2 linked regions of the Elephas maximus indicus genome follow. The protein of the gene in region 1 interacts with the protein of each later gene in a pairwise test. Links are inferred from orthologs where the notes say so. Each region holds a gene or a part of one and is shown on either strand. Other genes may lie near its edges.

What was found.
Region 2: the proteins of NUMBL (region 1) and SPSB3 interact in binary tests that used the Homo sapiens proteins (3 or more experiments, as listed by UniProt). The two-hybrid records come from large-scale screens. The link is inferred for Elephas maximus indicus from reciprocal best matches to the Homo sapiens genes NUMBL and SPSB3.

Annotation. Positions count from the first base shown.
Region 1 is NC_064829.1:110,968,878-110,977,776, reverse strand, and holds the start of NUMBL (numb-like protein), read right to left. Parts: upstream 3,982-8,899; coding exon 3,871-3,981; intron 2,913-3,870; coding exon 2,838-2,912; intron 2,751-2,837; coding exon 2,676-2,750; intron 1,458-2,675; coding exon 1,317-1,457; intron 1-1,316. Other genes in the region: COQ8B (atypical kinase COQ8B, mitochondrial), read right to left, coding at 4,798-4,815. UniProt on the Homo sapiens protein: Plays a role in the process of neurogenesis. Required throughout embryonic neurogenesis to maintain neural progenitor cells, also called radial glial cells (RGCs), by allowing their daughter cells to choose progenitor over neuronal cell fate.
Region 2 is NC_064830.1:58,863,387-58,873,107, forward strand, and holds the start of SPSB3 (SPRY domain-containing SOCS box protein 3), read right to left. Parts: upstream 4,843-9,721; 5' UTR 4,043-4,842; coding exon of another isoform or gene 4,034-4,042; 5' UTR 3,478-4,033; coding exon 3,061-3,477; intron 1,053-3,060; coding exon 875-1,052; intron 701-874; coding exon 513-700; intron 414-512; coding exon 311-413; intron 226-310; coding exon 100-225; intron 1-99. Other genes in the region: cytosolic Fe-S cluster assembly factor NUBP2, read left to right, coding at 5,736-5,751, 7,202-7,320, 7,412-7,610, 8,190-8,344, 8,458-8,568, 8,647-8,716, 9,053-9,210.

The sequences.
Region 1 (8,899 bases):
TATGCTACCTCCTGAAATGGTTGAACGTCGACCAATTCTTCTGATATAGTGACATCTTTTTTTGATATGCTTCCTGCGCCATTACTGAGGCTAATCCCACCTCATTAACATCACAGAGATAGGATTTACAACATGTAGGAAAATCACATCAGATGACAAATTGGTAGAGAATCACACGATACTGTGACTCATGGACTAGCCAAGTTGACACACGTTTCTGGAGGACATAATTCAATCCATAACAATATGTCCCTCAATAAAAAAGTCAAAGAAACCTCGAGAACTACTGAGAATGATGATGATGATGACTACATTTTCATGACGGCTCCTTCTGTGCCATGCATTGTTTGAAACGCTTTGTATTAATCTACTGTCTTAGGCTGGCTTCTCTAGAGAAGTAAAACCAGTAAAACATATTAATACGTATATAGAGAAAAATTTACGTTAAGGAAATGGCTCATGTGGTTGTAGAGGCTGGAACGTCCCAAGTCTGTGGATCAGGATAGAGGCCACAGGAGCTGGCAAACCCCAGATCAGCACATCAGAGACCAGGGCTGTTGTTCACGGTCTGTGAAGACTGACAAATCCCCAGATCGGCAGGCAAGGCCACAGGTAAGCTGCTAGCTCAAGCCCAAGAACTGCAGGTCAGATGAACAGGAGCCAGCTGCAGGATCTAGAATGTGCAAAAGCCCCCAAGCCCTGCCAGAACGTCCACTTATATTGGATGCAGGCCACACACCCAAGGAAACTCCCTTTCAACTAACTGGCTACTCACCGCAGATCCTATCATGAGGGCGACCACATATCAAATCTCAAAATGGCAGTGATCACAACGACTGCCAAAACACTGATAATCATGGCCCAGCCAAGTTGACACACAATCTTAACCATGACACCTACTCTAGACTCACAATAATCTCCTAGGTTAGGAACAATGATCACCAGTTACCAGATGCCATCAAGGTGAGTCTGACTCATGGCCACTCCATGTGTGTCAGAGTAAAACTGTGCGCCATCAGAGTTTTCAGTGGCTGATTTTTCAGAAGTAGATGACCAGGCCTTTCTTCCAAGGTGTCTCTGGGTGGACTCAAACCTCTAACCTTTCAGTGAGCAACGGAGTGCATCACTAATTTGCACTACCTAGGGACTCCCAGGACAAGGATTAGGAACTGTGATAACATCCCGTTCTCCAGATGAGGAAACCACGCACAGAGGGGTAAGGGACTTGACCGAGTTCACGCAGCCAGCCGGTGGGGCACGGGGGGTGGGATGCCAGGGGCTGGGAGAGACGAGTGGCTGGCTCTGGTGGTACTCACGGAGTCCTTGAGCGCCAGGAAACAGTGGCAGATCCAGCGTCGGGTGGTCCCATCACGGCAGATATAGGAGAAAGCTTTGTCCAGGTTGCGGTCAGGAGCACAAAAGGAGACCTTTTCGATGGTCTGGTCTACCAGCAGGTCCTGCGAAAGAACCAGGGAGGGCGGGAGAAGGAAATGAAGTGTCTAACATGCACTCATTTAACATTTCCTCAGTGTCTGCTCGATGGCCAATCCTGAACAGGGTGGGGACCCAGCACTCACTGAGACAGTAAGGGGATCAGATCCACATAGGGACAGCCCAGAGTCGCTGAGGCTACAATTGGGGTGGGATGGGGGAGCCACGGGGGAGGTGGACAGCCAGGATAGGGAGGCACAGGAGGATGGGGGGAATGGACAGAGAGGTCAAGCCAGGAGTGGAGGTGGGGGCTGGGACAAGGGAGGCACAGGCAGAGGGTAAGGAAGGGGCAGGCACAGGCAGAGGGGTACAGCCCGGCTGGGGAAGGCACAGGCAGAGGGGTTGGGCCTGGATGGGGGTGCACGGGCAAAGCGGTTGGGACACAGGTGGAGGGGTCAGGCCAGGATGGGGGGTCACGAGCAGAGGGCTTGGGGCACAGGTGGAGGGGTTGTGCCGGGATGGGGGGCACAGGCAGAGGGGTCGGGTCTATGATGGTCGGAGGCGGGGCACAGTGGTTAGGGCTGGCATTGGGCGGGGTGTGGGGCTGTGGGAGTCAGGACAGCTACGGAGGCAGAGCTTCCTGGTGGAGGAATTAACTAAGCAGAAAGGCAGGGAACAGTATTTCTGGCAGAAGGAACTTCCTATGCAAATATGGTGATCTGTTCATCAACCCAATTCCCATCACATCTGGGTGCCCCCTCTGGCAGTATCTGGGCCCCAGGCAGAGGATTCAATGGTGAGCAAACAGACACCCAGATGCTGGCCCCACGGTGCTCCAGGTCTGGCTGGGCAGACTGACACTTATAGAGCTGAGTGCTCACGATGCATCGCGCACGGATTTCAGCACATTACATATATTTTCTCACTTAATGGTAGGGTCTGTTTTCATTCTGATTTTATAAGTGAGGCGTGTGAGGCACAGAGGCAAGAAATTTCGTAGCCAGGGTCACCCAGCTAGTAAGCAGATGAACTGAGCTCCAACAGTCCCCCTACTGTCTATACCAGCTCACAAATAACCACAGGAATCATCTCTGAATTATGGCTGTCAGGTGGGCCAGGAAGGTGGGTCAGGGACCTTGCGGGAGGGACGTCCCAGACGTGGGTGGGAAGGTACCCTCAGCCCTGATTCCAGCAGGGAGAGGAGGAGAGAGGCTGACTAGTACCCACTCCCACAGGCCCCCTACCTTGGTCTTGTCATCCACCACTCGGAGCCCATCGGCTGACACCCACAGGACAGACTTCACGGATTTCCGGCCCATCTGGGGTGGTGGGGGACAAAGAGGCCTGGTCAGGGCTGCCTTGGCTGGCCTGAGCTTGCCCCTCCCTGGCTCCAGGCCGTCACTTACCGCCTTCAGCTTCTTCACAGCATCTTCACACACGTGCATCCCCCGGGACTCCTCCACCTCCACGTGGCCCAGGTACTGAAGAAGAGGACAGCAGGACCAGAAAAAAGCAGTTTTCAATAATTCCTGTGTTCATTGAGCACTTGCGATGCACCAGGCAACGTTCCAAACACATTGTACATGTTAACTTGTTTACTCTGGACCTCATCTCTACAAGGAGCGTACCCCCTTTTTATCCCAGTTATACAGATGTGAGGAGCCCTGGTGGCGCAGTGGCTAAGCACTTGGCTGCTAACTGGAAGGTCAGCGGTTCAAACCTACCAGTTGCTCCACAGGAGAAAGATGTGGCACCTGCTTCCGTAAAGACTGTAGCCTTGGAAGCCCTATGGGGTAGTTCTACTCTGTCCTATAGGGTCGTCATGAGTCGGAATCAACTCAACAACAAAGAGTTTGGTTTTTTTATGGTTTACACAGATGAGAAAACTGAAGCACAATGTGTAGCCATGCCCTGCCCTGGTGGCGCAGTGATTAAGCGCTCAGCTGCTAACCAAAAGGTCAGCAGTTTGAATCCATCAGCCGTTCCTTGGAAACCCTATGGGGCAATTCTACTCTGCCCTATAGGGTTGCTATGAGTCAGAATCCACTCAACGGCAATGGGTTTTGTTTCGTTTTTGGGTTTTTCCCCCATATTCCTAAGCCTTAACACTTCACTGTTGTCCTTGAGTACCAGTATCTCTGCGCCTGTGGCCTGCTCCCAGGCTGCATAAGACTGCTTGTCCACCCTTACAACAGGTATATCTTCGAAATGACTGATGGACTGATGTACACAGGCTCTCTGTTTCCCAGAGTTCCTCAGAGGGATTAAGCTTCAGCTGTCCGCAACTGCAGTTTAATAACACACTTTATTGGATTACCTACCTTCCTTACTCCCACCAGCGTTTCCTGCACCTCCCAAATGAACCCTTCACACTCAGGTCTATTTCTGGGGGAAAGGATAAGGCAGAGGGGCTATGACCATCGTCTGTCGCCACACAACCTGGAAGGGGCCGAGCGGGGATTTGAACTCAAATCGGCTGAACTCCACAGTCCATGCCCTGAATCCTGCTGTCTCCCATACGAAAGTGTAGCTTAGGTCATAAAGAGTCATGGTTGCCATAATCCAGAAAGCATTTCACAGCAGTGGATTCCGCAAATGTTACAGGATTTTTGTGCTCTTTGGAAATTGTGAGCTCCTGCTTAACAGGTGACACCCTCCCTGCTCACTGTTTCCCAGGTAATATTTTCCTGGTGCAAGACAATGTCTCTCTGTTTTTCACCATCTTCAAAAGGCCCGTGAGGTGGTGGCCTATTCTGGTAAGCTCCACAGTTCTTTGAGAATGTAAGGTCTCTGCCTCACAGAATAGGGCCTTAGTGATCTAGCCCAAACCCAAACCCATTGCTGTTGAGTCCATTCTGACTCTTTGTGACCCTATAGGACATGGCAGAACTGCCCCATAGGGTCTACAAGCAGTGACTGGTGGATTGAACTGCTGACCTTTTGGTTACAACCAAGCTCTCAACCATCTAGCCCCAAAACCCGTTGCCATCGAGTCCATTCAGACCCATAGTGACCCTACAGGAAAGAGGAGAACTGCCCCATAGGGTTTCCAAGGAGTGGCTGGTGGATTCAAACTGTCAACCTTTGGGTTAGCAGCCCTAGCTCTTAACCACTGTACCACCAGGACTCCAACTAACCATCTAGCCCCGCCGCCCCCCCGCAAAAGGCTGCCCTAGTGCCCCAGTGCCCTGTGCCCAGCAGCCCCGCCCCCTCCGCCCCAGCGCCACCCTGGCCCCACACTCACCCTGACTGGAAAGCTGCACGTGCCCTTGCGTACCGCATCCTCATCCGCCTGCCATTGGTGCGGGCGTGAGGCCTCGGGCACGTAAGCTGGCTTCCTCCGCCTCAGGCTCTGGCGTAACTTGTTCATGGTGCCCGCACCGTCTGGTGACACAGGTCAGGGCCGTGGGTCAGGGGCGTGGGGTTCAAGGGACAGGGACGTAGTACTCAGGAAGCAGAGAGTCAGAGAACGTGTGAATTGGGTCACAGTGTTAGAGGGCCACTGGGTGAGAGGACATAGCTTTCAGAGAGCATAGGTTTGCAGCTCGTGGTCAGGGGACACAGAGTTCAAAAGACATGGGGAAAGGAGACACTAGAAGGCAGGGAGGGTGAGCACAGAAGCAATGGGCATCAGAAGACACAGGGGTAAGAAGCACAGAGGTCTGGGATGGGGGTCATGGGTCACAGGTTTGAGGTGTTTGGAGGCTGGGGGATATGACAGAAAGGAATGAGGATCCAAAGGATCAGAAGTTAAGGCACTGGAGGGCACAGAGGTCATGGGTTATAAGGTCAGGGTTTTAGGGGTATGAGGGTCAGGGGATGGGGCAGTCAGAGGGCACTGGAATTAGTAGTTGCATGGGTTAGGGGCACAAGAGTCCAGTGTGTGGGACACAGGGGTCAAGGGGTTCAGAAGGTCCGGGGACTAAGGACTGGGACCCAGGGTCCAGACGGCACGGGAGATAGGGGCTTGTCTCTGTGCCTTGGAGACACAGCTGGTCTCTCAACGCCTGCGTCTACTCTGAGGCAGGGTCCCTGGGGCCCGTGCCTGTCAGTGGTATGGGGGGTGTGTATGTGTGTGGGGGTGGGTGGGTGGGTGGGTGGGTGGGTGTGGGTGGGTGGGTGGGTGTGGGTGGGTGGGTGGGTGGGTGTGTGTGTGTATGTGTGTGTGTGAAGTGGCCAGCCACCCGGACAGTCTTCCTGGACTGACAAGCCACACTGAAGAGTCCCAGGAGGAGAGTAAGGTGCCTCCATGGTAAGGGGACACACGACACCCAGGACTGGGAACACCCCCAGCAGATGAAGACTATGCCCGTGTGCAAGTAAGGATGCAGCTGTTGTCTATGAGTGTATATTCTTGAATGGTGTCTATATGTGTTCTCTGAAGGTCGTACAGAAAAATGCATGTCGGACAATGGCTGTTTATACTGTGTCTATGAATGTTGTTCATGAGATCTGTCTCCCAAAGCGTGGTGGTTCTCTATGAGGCTGTGTGTACCTGAAGGTTGTTGCTGAAGGCCATCTATGTCTGAGAGTGGTTGTGTGTCAGTGAATGTTGTCTCTGAGGGGTTGTTGTCTCTGAGAGCTTGTGTGCCTATGAATGTTGTCTGTGTCCGTTGCTATGAGAGCTTGTGTGTCAGTGAATGTTGTCCATGAGGGGTGCCTATGCCCACTGTTATCTACGGAAGCTTGTGTCAGTGAACGTCATCCGTGAGGGGTGTCTATGTCCGCTGTTGTCTGTGAGAGCTTGTATCACAGAATGTTGTCCATGAGGGATGTCTACATCCATTGTTTTCTATGGGAGCTTGCGTCAGAGAATGCTCTCCGTGAGGGGTGACTATGTCTGCTGTCGTCTATGAAAGCTTGTGTCAGTGAACGTTGTCCGTGAGGGGTGACTATGTCTGCTGTTGTCTATGAAAGCTTGTGTCAGTGAACGTTGTCCGTGAGGGGTGACTATGTCTGCTGTTGTCTGTGAAAGCTTGTGTCAGTGAACGTTGTCCGTGAGGGGTGACTATGTCTGCTGTTGTCTATGAAAGCTTGTGTCAGTGAACGTCATCCGTGAGGGGTGTCTATGTCCGCTGTTGTCTGTGAGAGCTTGTATCACAGAATGTTGTCCATGAGGGATGTCTACATCCATTGTTTTCTATGGGAGCTTGCGTCAGAGAATGCTCTCCGTGAGGGGTGACTATGTCTGCTGTCGTCTATGAAAGCTTGTGTCAGTGAACGTTGTCCGTGAGGGGTGACTATGTCTGCTGTTGTCTATGAAAGCTTGTGTCAGTGAACGTTGTCCGTGAGGGGTGACTATGTCTGCTGTTGTCTATGAGAGCTTGTGTCAGTGAACGTTGTCCGTGAGGGGTGACTATGTCTGCTGTTGTCTATGAGAGCTTGTGTCAGTGAACGTTGTCCGTGAGGGGTGACTATGTCTGCTGTTGTCTATGAGAGCTTGTGTCAGTGAATGTTGTCCGTGAGGGGTGACTATGTCTGCTGTTGTCTATGAAAGCTTGTGTCAGTGAATGTTGTCCGTGAGGGGTGACTATGTCTGCTGTTGTCTATGAAAGCTTGTGTCAGTGAATGTCGTCCGTGAGGGGTGACTATGTCTGCTGTTGTCTATGAAAGCTTGTGTCAGTGAACGTCATCCGTGAGGGGTGTCTATGTCCGCTGTTGTCTGTGAGAGCTTGTATCACAGAATGTTGTCCATGAGGGATGTCTACATCCATTGTTTTCTATAGGAGCTTGCGTCAGAGAATGCTCTCCGTGAGGGGTGACTATGTCTGCTGTTGTCTATGAAAGCTTGTGTCAGTGAACGTTGTCCGTGAGGGGTGACTATGTCTGCTGTTGTCTATGAAAGCTTGTGTCAGTGAACGTTGTCCGTGAGGGGTGACTATGTCTGCTGTTGTCTATGAAAGCTTGTGTCAGTGAACGTTGTCCGTGAGGGGTGACTATGTCTGCTGTTGTCTATGAAAGCTTGTGTCAGTGAACGTTGTCCGTGAGGGGTGACTATGTCTGCTGTTGTCTATGAGAGCTTGTGTCAGTGAACGTTGTCCGTGAGGGGTGACTATGTCTGCTGTTGTCTATGAGAGCTTGTGTCAGTGAACGTCGTCCGTGAGGGGTGACTATGTCTGCTGTTGTCTATGAAAGCTTGTGTCAGTGAATGTCGTCCGTGAGGGGTGACTATGTCTGCTGTTGTCTATGAAAGCTTGTGTCAGTGAACGTCATCCGTGAGGGGTGTCTATGTCCGCTGTTGTCTGTGAGAGCTTGTATCACAGAATGTTGTCCATGAGGGATGTCTACATCCATTGTTTTCTATGGGAGCTTGCGTCAGAGAATGCTCTCCGTGAGGGGTGACTATGTCTGCTGTTGTCTATGAAAGCTTGTGTCAGTGAACGTTGTCCGTGAGGGGTGACTATGTCTGCTGTTGTCTATGAAAGCTTGTGTCAGTGAACGTTGTCCGTGAGGGGTGACTATGTCTGCTGTTGTCTATGAAAGCTTGTGTCAGTGAACGTTGTCCGTGAGGGGTGACTATGTCTGCTGTTGTCTATGAAAGCTTGTGTCAGTGAACGTTGTCCGTGAGGGGTGACTATGTCTGCTGTTGTCTATGAAAGCTTGTGTCAGTGAACGTTGTCCGTGAGGGGTGACTATGTCTGCTGTTGTCTATGAAAGCTTGTGTCAGTGAACGTTGTCCGTGAGGGGTGACTATGTCTGCTGTTGTCTATGAGAGCTTGTGTCAGTGAACGTTGTCCGTGAGGGGTGACTATGTCTGCTGTTGTCTATGAGAGCTTGTGTCAGTGAATGTTGTCCGTGAGGGGTGACTATGTCTGCTGTTGTCTATGAAAGCTTGTGTCAGTGAATGTTGTCCGTGAGGGGTGACTATGTCTGCTGTTGTCTATGAAAGCTTGTGTCAGTGAATGTTGTCCGTGAGGGGTGACTATGTCTGCTGTTGTCTATGAAAGCTTGTGTCAGTGAACGTTGTCCGTGAGGGGTGACTATGTCTGCTGTTGTCTATGAAAGCTTGTGTCAGTGAACGTTGTCCGTGAGGGGTGACTATGTCTGCTGTTGTCTATGAGAGCTTGTGTCAGTGAACGTTGTCCGTGAGGGGTGACTATGTCTGCTGTTGTCTATGAGAGCTTGTGTCAGTGAACGTTGTCCGTGAGGGGTGACTATGTCTGCTGTTGTCTATGAGAGCTTGTGTCAGTGAACGTTGTCCGTGAGGGGTGACTATGTCTGCTGTTGTCTATGAGAGCTTGTGTCAGTGAACGTTGTCCGTGAGGGGTGACTATGTCTGCTGTTGTCTATGAGAGCTTGTGTCAGTGAACGTTGTCCGTGAGGGGTGACTAGGTCTGCTGTTGTCCATGAGAGCTTGTGTCAGTGAACGTTGTCCGTGAGGGGTGACTATGTCTGCTGTTGTCCACGAGAGCTTGAGTCAGTGAATGTTGTCCGTGAGGCGTGTCTATGCCTGTTGGTGTCTAAGACA
Region 2 (9,721 bases), on another chromosome or scaffold:
TACCATGGGACCCTGTGGCTTGGACCTTCCCTGTCCCACTGCCCCGCCCTCAGGGGCCTGGGACCCAGGCTCCTGCACAGATGGCCTGGGCACCCTTACCTATGCACTTGCGGTTCTTGAAGAAGGTCAGTTTCCCATGCCAGGTGTCCAGATGCACACCAATGATGGAGCCCTGGCCAAAGCGTGATGAGAAGCTCATCTTGTCTCCCTTGTGGTGGAGGAGCCCTGGGTGCAGCCGGTGGGGGTGAGCCCAGAAGCAGGGTGGGGGGGCACCAACCCAGCCCCACTGCCCCCCCACCCCCACACGCACCCGTGTACGAGAGGCCCCAGCTGTCCTCATCCCTGCCCAGCAGGCTGCAGAAGGTGTGGTGGTACTTGTCCAGGTCCACATCTGACGTCCCAATGCCTACCATCTAGGAACAAGGCCAGGAGAGGGGCACATGGGGCTGGGGCTGATCCCGCACGCCTCACCTGGGGCCAATCCCCGCGTGTCTCTGGCAGTCAGCACTCACCATGTCAGTACCATAGACAGGCGAGGTCATCTTGATCTCCCAGAAATGCTGGCCCTCACCCAGCTCCTTGGTGCCCCGGATGGCTGCTGTGCCACAGCTGTATTCCACATGGAAGCTGACTTTGCGATTATCGCAGCTCAGGAGGGTGGCTGAGGACTTGTTCAGGTCATCCCAGACCCAGTCAAAGTCTGCAGGGGCGAAGGGCCAGCTGAGGTGGGCAGGGAGCCCCTCTCCCCCACCCTCCCCTCAACCTCCCCCAGTGCTCACGCTTATCCTCCTCCTTGTATGTCCCCCCTCCCCCAACCTTCCCAAACACTCATCCTCCCTGCAGGTCCTCCCCCAAGTCCTCCCCACGCACTCACGCTCGTCCTCCTCCCCACAGCGGCAGTCTTTGCCGCTGTGGGTGCTGTGCCGGCCGCCGCAGAAGGAGGCCTCACTCTGGCTGTCGCAGTCACAGAAGGACTCCCCGGTGACCGGCACAGCGCTGGGGATGGATGGCGGCAGGGACAAGAACTCAGGGTCGGAGTCTGAGTCGCTGTGCTGGGAAAGAAGGCAGGCTGTTCCCACCTCTGGCCTGCAGCCCTGTGCCAGCCCCTCCACACCCACCCTGCTGCACAGCCCCCTTGACGAGGCCCCTGCTGCAGCTTCCAGCTTCTGGGTATAGAAAAGTACTAGTCAGCTGAGCTGCCCCTACAGGACCCAGCCAGACACTCGGGTCCTTGTGCAAAGCTTGTCACACCCAATAGCCGAGTCACCCACAACCCCTCCTGGGGGCCAGCCAGCCTGCTTAGGGGTCTCTGAGCTGAGTCATCCTGCTCTGAAGCTATGCAGTGCCTCCAGTCTCCACACCTGAGCAGGTGGAGAGAGCCCCTGCCTGAAGCTCTGCGGCTCACTGGCCGCCACTGGGCTTTGCTTCTCCCCCCGCCCCACCACCACTCCACACTCTGCACCTAGACCCAAACAAGCTTTTAAAACACGCTACCGTGACACTCCGCCATGTCCCACCGCCCCCATCATGCCGTTCCACCACGCCCTAGAGTACCCGTGCCCCATCGAATCCTTCAAGAGCTCCCAGCCCAGATCTGCCTTCTGAACTCCACCTTCACTCCTCCCATGTGCAGCACGTGACCTCAGGGTCCCCCACCTGGGTCTTCCGATGCTCCTCCTCAGACCACCATTCCCCGGCTTTCTTCTTCTTATCCCTGAAACTCATCTGTCACCTGTCCCCTGACAAGGGAAGCCCAGCCCTTCTGTCTCTTTCCCGTCACACTCCAGGGCCCAGCACCATGGCCACACAGCAGCTAAACCAACTGAGCAAATAAACAGCAAAACGGGCATCTGCTGTGTCTCAAACCCATCACGGATGGACAGACAGACAATCATAAAGAAGACTGCAGGAGCTGGGGAGAGGAGAGGATGGGCCCAGGAAGAGAAGACACGGAGCCACAATGGTCGGGCTGGCAGGTCTGTTTTGAGAGCCGACTTAAGAATGGGACATGGTCCCATCTGCAGAATGGTCGCCACAGCAGGCCACGCAGGCCTAAGGGACTGCATCCCATTGCAGGGAATGGGACCCTCCACCCTAGGCTGAGGCCTCTGCCTCCTATGAACTAAGGAAGGGTATGTGTGCTATTCACCCCAGACACACTCACAGGCATGCAAGACCCATTAGGTGACAGGGGACAAAAAGCATGTATGTGTCACATCTGTACCATCAGTGGTCACATTCTGCATCCCACAGCAGTGAGTCTGTGCTCCAGACCACATGGTCAGTGTGGGGGCAGGGCAGGAGTGCAGGCCAGGCCTTCCCCTGGACAGCTCCCAAGGCTCACCAGCCACTCTCTGGGGGGACAAGGGGCCACTGATCTGGAGGAGAGGCACCCGCCCCTCCCAGCCCGGGGCACCTGTGCTGAGCAGAGGCCAAAGTCACCTCGGGCAGCCCTGCAGAAGACAGCTGGGGTGATTCAAGCTGGCTCCTACTCTGAGAGATGGAACCTATTCTTCTCCTGGCCTCACCAAACCTTCACCCACATGCTCTGCCTCTCCATGCTGCCCCTGCTGGGGCCAGAAAACCTGAACTGGGAGACAGATGTTCTCTGGACTGCCTCCTTGTTCCCACGGAGAGGCTCACATGGTAAGAAATTCTGATCATCAAGAACCAAAGCTCTTTTTCATGCACACGTACAGAACACTGTGTGTCTGGACAGGCCAAGGAAACATCTAGAAAGACATTCGCCAAGTTAACAATGGCTCTCTTCTGGAAATGAGTTGGATGCATGAAATTGAAACATTTTTGTTGGCCACAATCCCCAGTGTGCAGCCTCGCCCCAGTGTGGTCTTTGCAAGACAGAAGAGTGTTATTAAGGAGAACCTGGCACCTGTGCTGGGGCCCAGCCTCAGGGGCCTTCACTGGGTTGAAGAGCCTTGTCAGGCAGAGCATGCCCAGGGACAGTGGGACCTGGGCATCCATCCTCTTTCATCCCTGTCTAGGTCATGCCTGCTTCTCCACACCTCAGTCCAGCAGCACCCCCTCCTCACGGGGACCTACCTGCCCATCAGAGTCATAGCCCCAGTTAGCAGTGCCTGCCAGAGCCACAACCCGGGCATCGGCATCTCGGCGGGCTGCACTCAGGACAAAATGCCATGCCCGGCTGCTCCGGGGCCGCCTGGCCATGGCGGAGAGGACCTGGAAGAAAACACAGACCCCGAGAAAGGAAGGAAGACTCAGGATGCTGGACTGTCTCCCAACAGCCCTCTGTACTCTGTCCTTCACCCCTGTGCAGGCTCCCAGCTGCCCCTGCGGGCTGTGCCCACAGACCCACCCAAAGGTGGAGGTGTTCCCGGGCCACACGGATCCCATGGTCAGAGCTCCAGAACTCTCCACACAAGCCCACACCTCACTCCAGTATCTGAGTACCTCAATGAAAACCAGGCAGATGGTGTGCAAAACCTTCCACAAGTCCATGACTCTCCACGGCACATCTCAGCCCATCTCCCTCTGAGCTCATCCTCACCTACCCCACGTCTCACCCACTTGCACTTCAGGCATTTCCAGCCTTGGCTGACTCCTCCTCCTCCAGTGTCCAGTTTGGCAAATGAAATCTCCAAGCACGTAGTTCCTCATGCCAGACATCCCTGACACCTCCTCCATCCCCTCATGGCCCGCATCAACTCAGTATCTCCAAGCCCTGACTACCTCAACTCGTCCATGTTCTTCACCTCCATCCCAACCCAGGACCTCCCCTGGACCACACATCTGTCTGCCTCACCCTCCTCCCAGATCCTTAACACACAGCCAGACTTGCTCTTGAAAAATTAATCTGAATCTTACCATGCCTTCAGGCCTTCCCATTATTCTTAAGATAAAATGCAGAATTCTACAGAGCCTCCAGAGTTCTCAGCTTCCCCAAGCCATACTGGCCTTGGTTCAGTGACCAGCTTTCTCCTACTCTTCTCTCACTGCTGCTCTGATTACCACGGTCCTACTGAAACAGGCTGCTCAGCCATATCCTGAACAGTACCTGTGCCATTTTTCCCCTTCTTCTTTCCCTTCCCAGGCTGTCTCTGTTTCCAGGTAGGATTTTCCTGTTAGCTCCTCCAAAAGGTTAACCAGTGTTTCCCCTAGGACCTTGGAAAACAAGTGATATGGATCTAATAAGCCTGTCAACAAGATGAAGCTGATGGGATAATAGCAGGAAGAGATCAACATGTTTGAAACCAAACAGAAAGAGAATGCACATTCCACGAGTTCCTAAAACTTATAGCCCCTTTTCCCTTGAAAACCCTAGCTGACCTGTAGTTCTGAGAGACAGACAGCTAGCTTTAGGAGATCATTCCCCTCTGCCTCCATATATCGGTAAATACCGGTATATCTAATAAACTTCTTGCTACCCACCTCACCCGGTCTCAAGAATTGGCTGTTTGCAGCATGCGGCTAACTAGGGAAATTGTGGTAACACTACCTTCCGTTATCAATTCCACCCAACCTAAAGCAATATGTGGCCTTCCGTGATGGTGTATACCTGCCTCTCCCTCGGGCGGGAAAGCCTACAAGGCCCCTGCCAGACACCCAAAAGGTGCCTTGTCCGCTGAATGAATGAGCTGGGTGGGGGGGGGGGAGGCGGGGGGGAAGGCCCTCCCTAGCCTGAGCCACTGGTTCCTGGTGATGGGAGTCCTGCTGTTCTCCATAAACATCTGGCCTGCACCAGAGCCTCCAGTCTCCAACTATGGTTGGAGCAGTTACAATCGGCCCCAAACGGCTTAATCGCTATTCGCTACACTGGTACCACACAGTGGGCGCCACGTGACCCAGACTGAATGAATGACCCAACGAGCTTGTCACCCACAGCGAAGTCCCGACAACACGCTCCCCAATCTTCACGTAACCGGACGGTCGCCATATCCCGATTCTCGCGAGCTCGTACTGATTTCAGTTTCGGGGTGCCGTTTCCGGAAGTTACCCCCCAAATCGGGGGGGAGGGCCCCCTAACCCGAGGCAGTGCGCAGAGCGCCCGACGCAGCCGTCCTTCCGGGGCCCCGGAGATGGACGAGGGTCTAAGAGGGAGCGCGGCCCGCCTGGTGGCCGCGGACAAAGCGCAGGGCGGGCTGGGAGCAGGCGCCGTGCCCGGGTAGCCGGAGGAACAAAGGTTGGGCGCGCCCTCCCGAGCCCGCGACGCCAGGGCAGGCCCGGCCGCGCCGCCGCGCTCACCTGGCGCTGCTCTGCCTCCGCCGTCGCCGCGCTCCCTGCCCGCGGTGACCTACTTTCCGCTCCGAGCGAGACGTCAACAATCCCCGCCCCGCGCCGCATTGGCCGGCCCGCGGGAGGCGGGCTCCAGCTCAGGCTTGGACCGGGGGTCGGGACTCGCGGGGCACGGCTCCTGCCGATAGGCTGCAGGGCCCGTTAGTCCCGAACCGAAGTCTCCATTGGCCACGCCTGAATCCGTCGGAGAGAAGGCCCCCGCACCCATTGGGCGCGGATTGCGGGAGGGAGGCGGTCCCAACTTGGGGCGTTGACAGGGAAGTGGACCCATCTCCTCCACGTCATCCGGCGCCGGAACTCGCGCGCACAGCTCGGGCGGTCTGATTAGCTGAGGGCAGCAGGACTAGGCCTATGAAGAGGCGCCGGGGGGCGGGCTCGCGCTGCCCACTGGCCCGAGGGCTCTTCACTCCTGCTGGGAGGCGGGCGGTCCGCGGGCGGAAACCCAGAGACGCAGGAGGTGGCGGATGGAGGCGGTGGCGGGTGAGTATGCGAGACTTGAAAAACAACTCAGGAAGGTTATCAGTCAAGCATGTAGGGATAGGAAATATGGCCCCTTATCTTGTCTAAGCACCTAGTTTGTTAGTCACAAGTGTCTTCGAGTGCCAGCAGTAAAAGTTATATGGTGGTCTGCACTTAGGTTTAGATTCCAAAAACACTGAATTAGAAGTTATTTAATTGTAGCCAGTCCGATCTCTTGCCTGTCTCAGTCACGGTTCAACTAGGTTACACCTGGCTCTCTCACTTTCGAGCGTTTCCAGCAGAACCCCCTCCCCCAGCAACGAAGGTGAACCTGCAGCCTTGCACAGTATCCTCCCACGTGCCTGTTGGTGTTACCTTAAGCATTAGTGTTTGCTGGGCAGCTTGGGTGTGATGTCGCCTAAGACGAGATCATGGCCTATAGTTCACAAAGTTTGTGTTAAGGTCCCGCCAGGAGGGCCAGGTCAGGCCCTGCGAGTACCTCGGGGAGATATTGGAGGGGTGGGAGGAGGGATGGGATTCTACCCACAACCACCTTCCGGGAAAGGCGGGCACCCAGGAGAGCAGCTGAGCAGAGGCCTGGGCAGGGTGGAGGGCACCTGATTGGAATATGGAGGCCAGGCAGACGGTGTTTGTGACCATCCCTGATTCATTTGGTGAAGTTTCTTGCTCAGTGGAAGGAAAAGGAGCAGGGCAGGTGGTCAAAGACCCAAAGGAGAGTTTTGGGGGGGGGGCCTGTGTGGAATGCGGCCAAAGACATTAGTGGGTGGGTGCCTTCGGGGTGGGGCACAGGGGCAACAAGAGTGTGGACTCAGCCAGTCAGGCAGTGCTGATGCTTGCATAGCAAGGGCCGTCTGGTGACCTGGGTCTCAGGTGCTGGCACTCACCCTCCCCCCCCGCCCCCGCAATTGGAGCCCCAGTGTCTGCCTCAGGGCCTCTTCTGCACTAACCTGGGTCCTAGGAGGTGGAGAGGGGCAACCTCAGGCCCAGATTCAGTCATGTCTTGGGCCTGGTCACTGAGAGGAGGCACAGCAGCCTCCAGGCATAGGTGCACCTTGAGGCCACGAAGACGGCAGCTTTGTTGGTCTCCAAGTGTTTCTCCGTTGGAATTAGAGGGAGCTGGCATCTCAGGCTTGTCTTGTCTCCAAGCGTGAGTGCACACCACTTCTGCAGTACATACACACATGCGCACACCTGCACACATAGACGCTCTCTAAAGAGGCTTCCTGGTCTTCGGCAGCCAGGCTTCAGGCAGGAGTGGGTGCTATGGCGTTCACGGGAGCAGCGGATGGGCTGTGGAGCCTCCTGCCAGCCTCATTTGCTCAGTGTCGGGTGTGGGGGCCGTGACCCCAGAGCCCAGAGGTGGGAGTACACAGTGAGCCCGTAGGGGGAATGGTGAGGAGTGGCTGGCATATTGGGACCTCCTGACCTTTATGTCTCTTGTTCTGACAAGAGCCTGGGAACCTGGCCGGCGTCCGGCACATCATCCTTGTGCTCTCGGGAAAGGGTGGTGTAGGGAAGAGCACCATCTCCACTGAGCTGGCCCTGGCCCTGCGCCACGCGGGCAAGAAGGTGAGCACTGTGCCTCCAGGCCACTCATCCCCCCTGCGCCTGCCACCCCTGTCCTCCTGAGCGTGGTCCTCACTGGCTACACCGCCTGCAGGTGGGCATCCTAGATGTGGATCTGTGTGGGCCCAGCGTGCCACGCATGCTGCAGGCGCAGGGCTGCGCTGTGCACCAGTGTGACAACGGCTGGGTGCCAGTGTTTGTGGACCAGGAACAGAGCATTGCTCTCATGTCCGTGGGCTTCCTGCTGGAGACACCCGATGAGGCCGTGGTGTGGAGGGGCCCCAAGAAAAATGGTAATGGGGCCCAAGTCCTCAGCAGTCCCATGCCAGCTGTCATGGGGAGTTGGCAACATCCCGGCTGTGCCGGGTAGGCTTCTGTGAATCGTGGGATGAGGCGGGCGCATGGTGCTGGGGCCTGTGTGGTTGAGGCCATCATTCTTGAGCCACCAATCTGCAGTGTTGGGGCACTCATTGGGGGCTCGGGTGCCTCTGGCCCATCAGACGGCAGCAACAACCCCCGCCTCCCCCCGCCATCAGGTCAGCGATGTAGTTGGAAGCCTGGACCGCCTGCCGGTATCAAAAGCCAGCCTAGGGCCAGTCAGCCATGGCACTCCCTGCAGGGCCAGCTCCCTGGGCCGGGACACTTGGGGCCATCCTGTGTCTAGAGCAGACATCAGCCAACCGCTCCTGGGTGGGGCGGGGAGAGGGACAGTGTGCTGGGGACCTCTGCATGTGCTTCTCCTCCTGGCAGTGGCCTTGCTTTTGGGGTCCAGGCCCTGTTGATAGCGCTGTCTGCACTGGAGGCTGCAAGAGGCTGGGGCTTCTCTGGACAAACGCCTCATGAGCCCCCGGGGTTCTGGGTGGTCTCTGCAGCACTGATAAGGCAGTTTGTGTCGGACGTGGTGTGGGGGGAGTTGGACTTCCTGGTGGTGGACACGCCCCCAGGTACCTCTGATGAGCACATCTCGGCTGTGGAGGCCCTGCGTCCGTACCAGCCCTTGGGCGCAGTTCTGGTTACCACACCCCAGGTGAGTGAGCACCAAGCTCCAAACATGCAGCCCCTCCTGGCAGGTGGGGGCGGTGGCCTCCCTCTCTCCAGCAGAGCTGCATGTAGAGCCCCAGACGCTGTCTTGGCCCCCAGGCGGTGTCTGTGGGGGATGTGCGGCGGGAGCTGACCTTCTGCAGGAAGACAGGGCTGCCAGTGATCGGCATTGTGGAAAACATGAGCGGTTTCGTCTGCCCGCACTGCGCGGTGAGGCGCCCGGCCGTCGGGTGGGCAGGGTACAGGGGCACAAGGGGCCTGCACTCATGGCCCCATCCCTCTGTCCAGGAGTGTACTAATCTCTTCTCCGTGGGAGGCGGGGAGGAGCTGGCCAGGCACGCTGGGGTTCCCTTTCTAGGTGAGTGCCAGGTGGGGGGTAGTGGGGTCCCTGTCAACTGTGGGAGCATGCCTGCTGGGACCCCAAGATGCAGGGGGCAGGACAGGCACTCCCTGCCCAGGCTAAACCTCAGGGCTGCCCTTTGGATGAACACTGAGGCAGGTGTCCACGCGCTGGGCAGTACTGAGCTAGCCCATGGGAGGTACAGCATCCGGGTGGAAGTGAGCCCCCGCAGAGTGCCAGCCTGGGGCATCTGCTCTCTCAAGGAGGCGCTGGCTTCCAGGGTGGGGGTGCATGGCGGTGACCCGAGCCTCCCCAGGCCCTGCCCTCCCTTCCCCCGTCTCCTCATCTTCACAGGCTCCGTGCCTCTGGACCCCCAGCTTGTGAGGAGCCTGGAAGAGGGCCGGGACTTCATCCAGGAGTTCCCCAAGAGTGCTGCCTTCCCTGCACTTGCCTCCATTGCCCAGAAGATCCTGGATGGGGCACAGGTGCAGGCGCAGACAGGCACTGACTGAGGTGCCCTGCCAGCTCTCCTGTCTCCTGGGCTTTCCCATGCTGCTGTGGAGCTCATGCACGAGGGCCAGAACAGGGGGCCTGGAGGGGTGCAGGACCTACATAAGCTGGTCCAGCAGCATCTGTGCCTCCCACCCCCACCAGACTGCGTTCAGAGACCTTTCCAGTGTTTGAGCAGTGTGGGCGGGGTCCTGGTAGCCTTGAGAGATGGCACCACATCCAAGTTGCATGGGGAGATGCCATGTTCCCAAAGGGACCAGCTTCTGACACCTGTGCCCCACATGGCGTGGAGCTGCTCTGTTGTCCTTGCTGACCCTGGGCCTGCCACGTTGGGGGGTGGCTGCCAGGCCTGGAGACACCCTGCACTGCACCATTAAACAGACACCTACGTATGTGACGTCTCTACTGTCTTGTCTAATCTGCTCTCCTGTGTGTGTCTCTCAGTGAGCCTCTGGGTTCTGTGAATCCAGAGTGAGAAAACGTTCGAACTGAGGGCAGGAGGGTGCTTGTGGT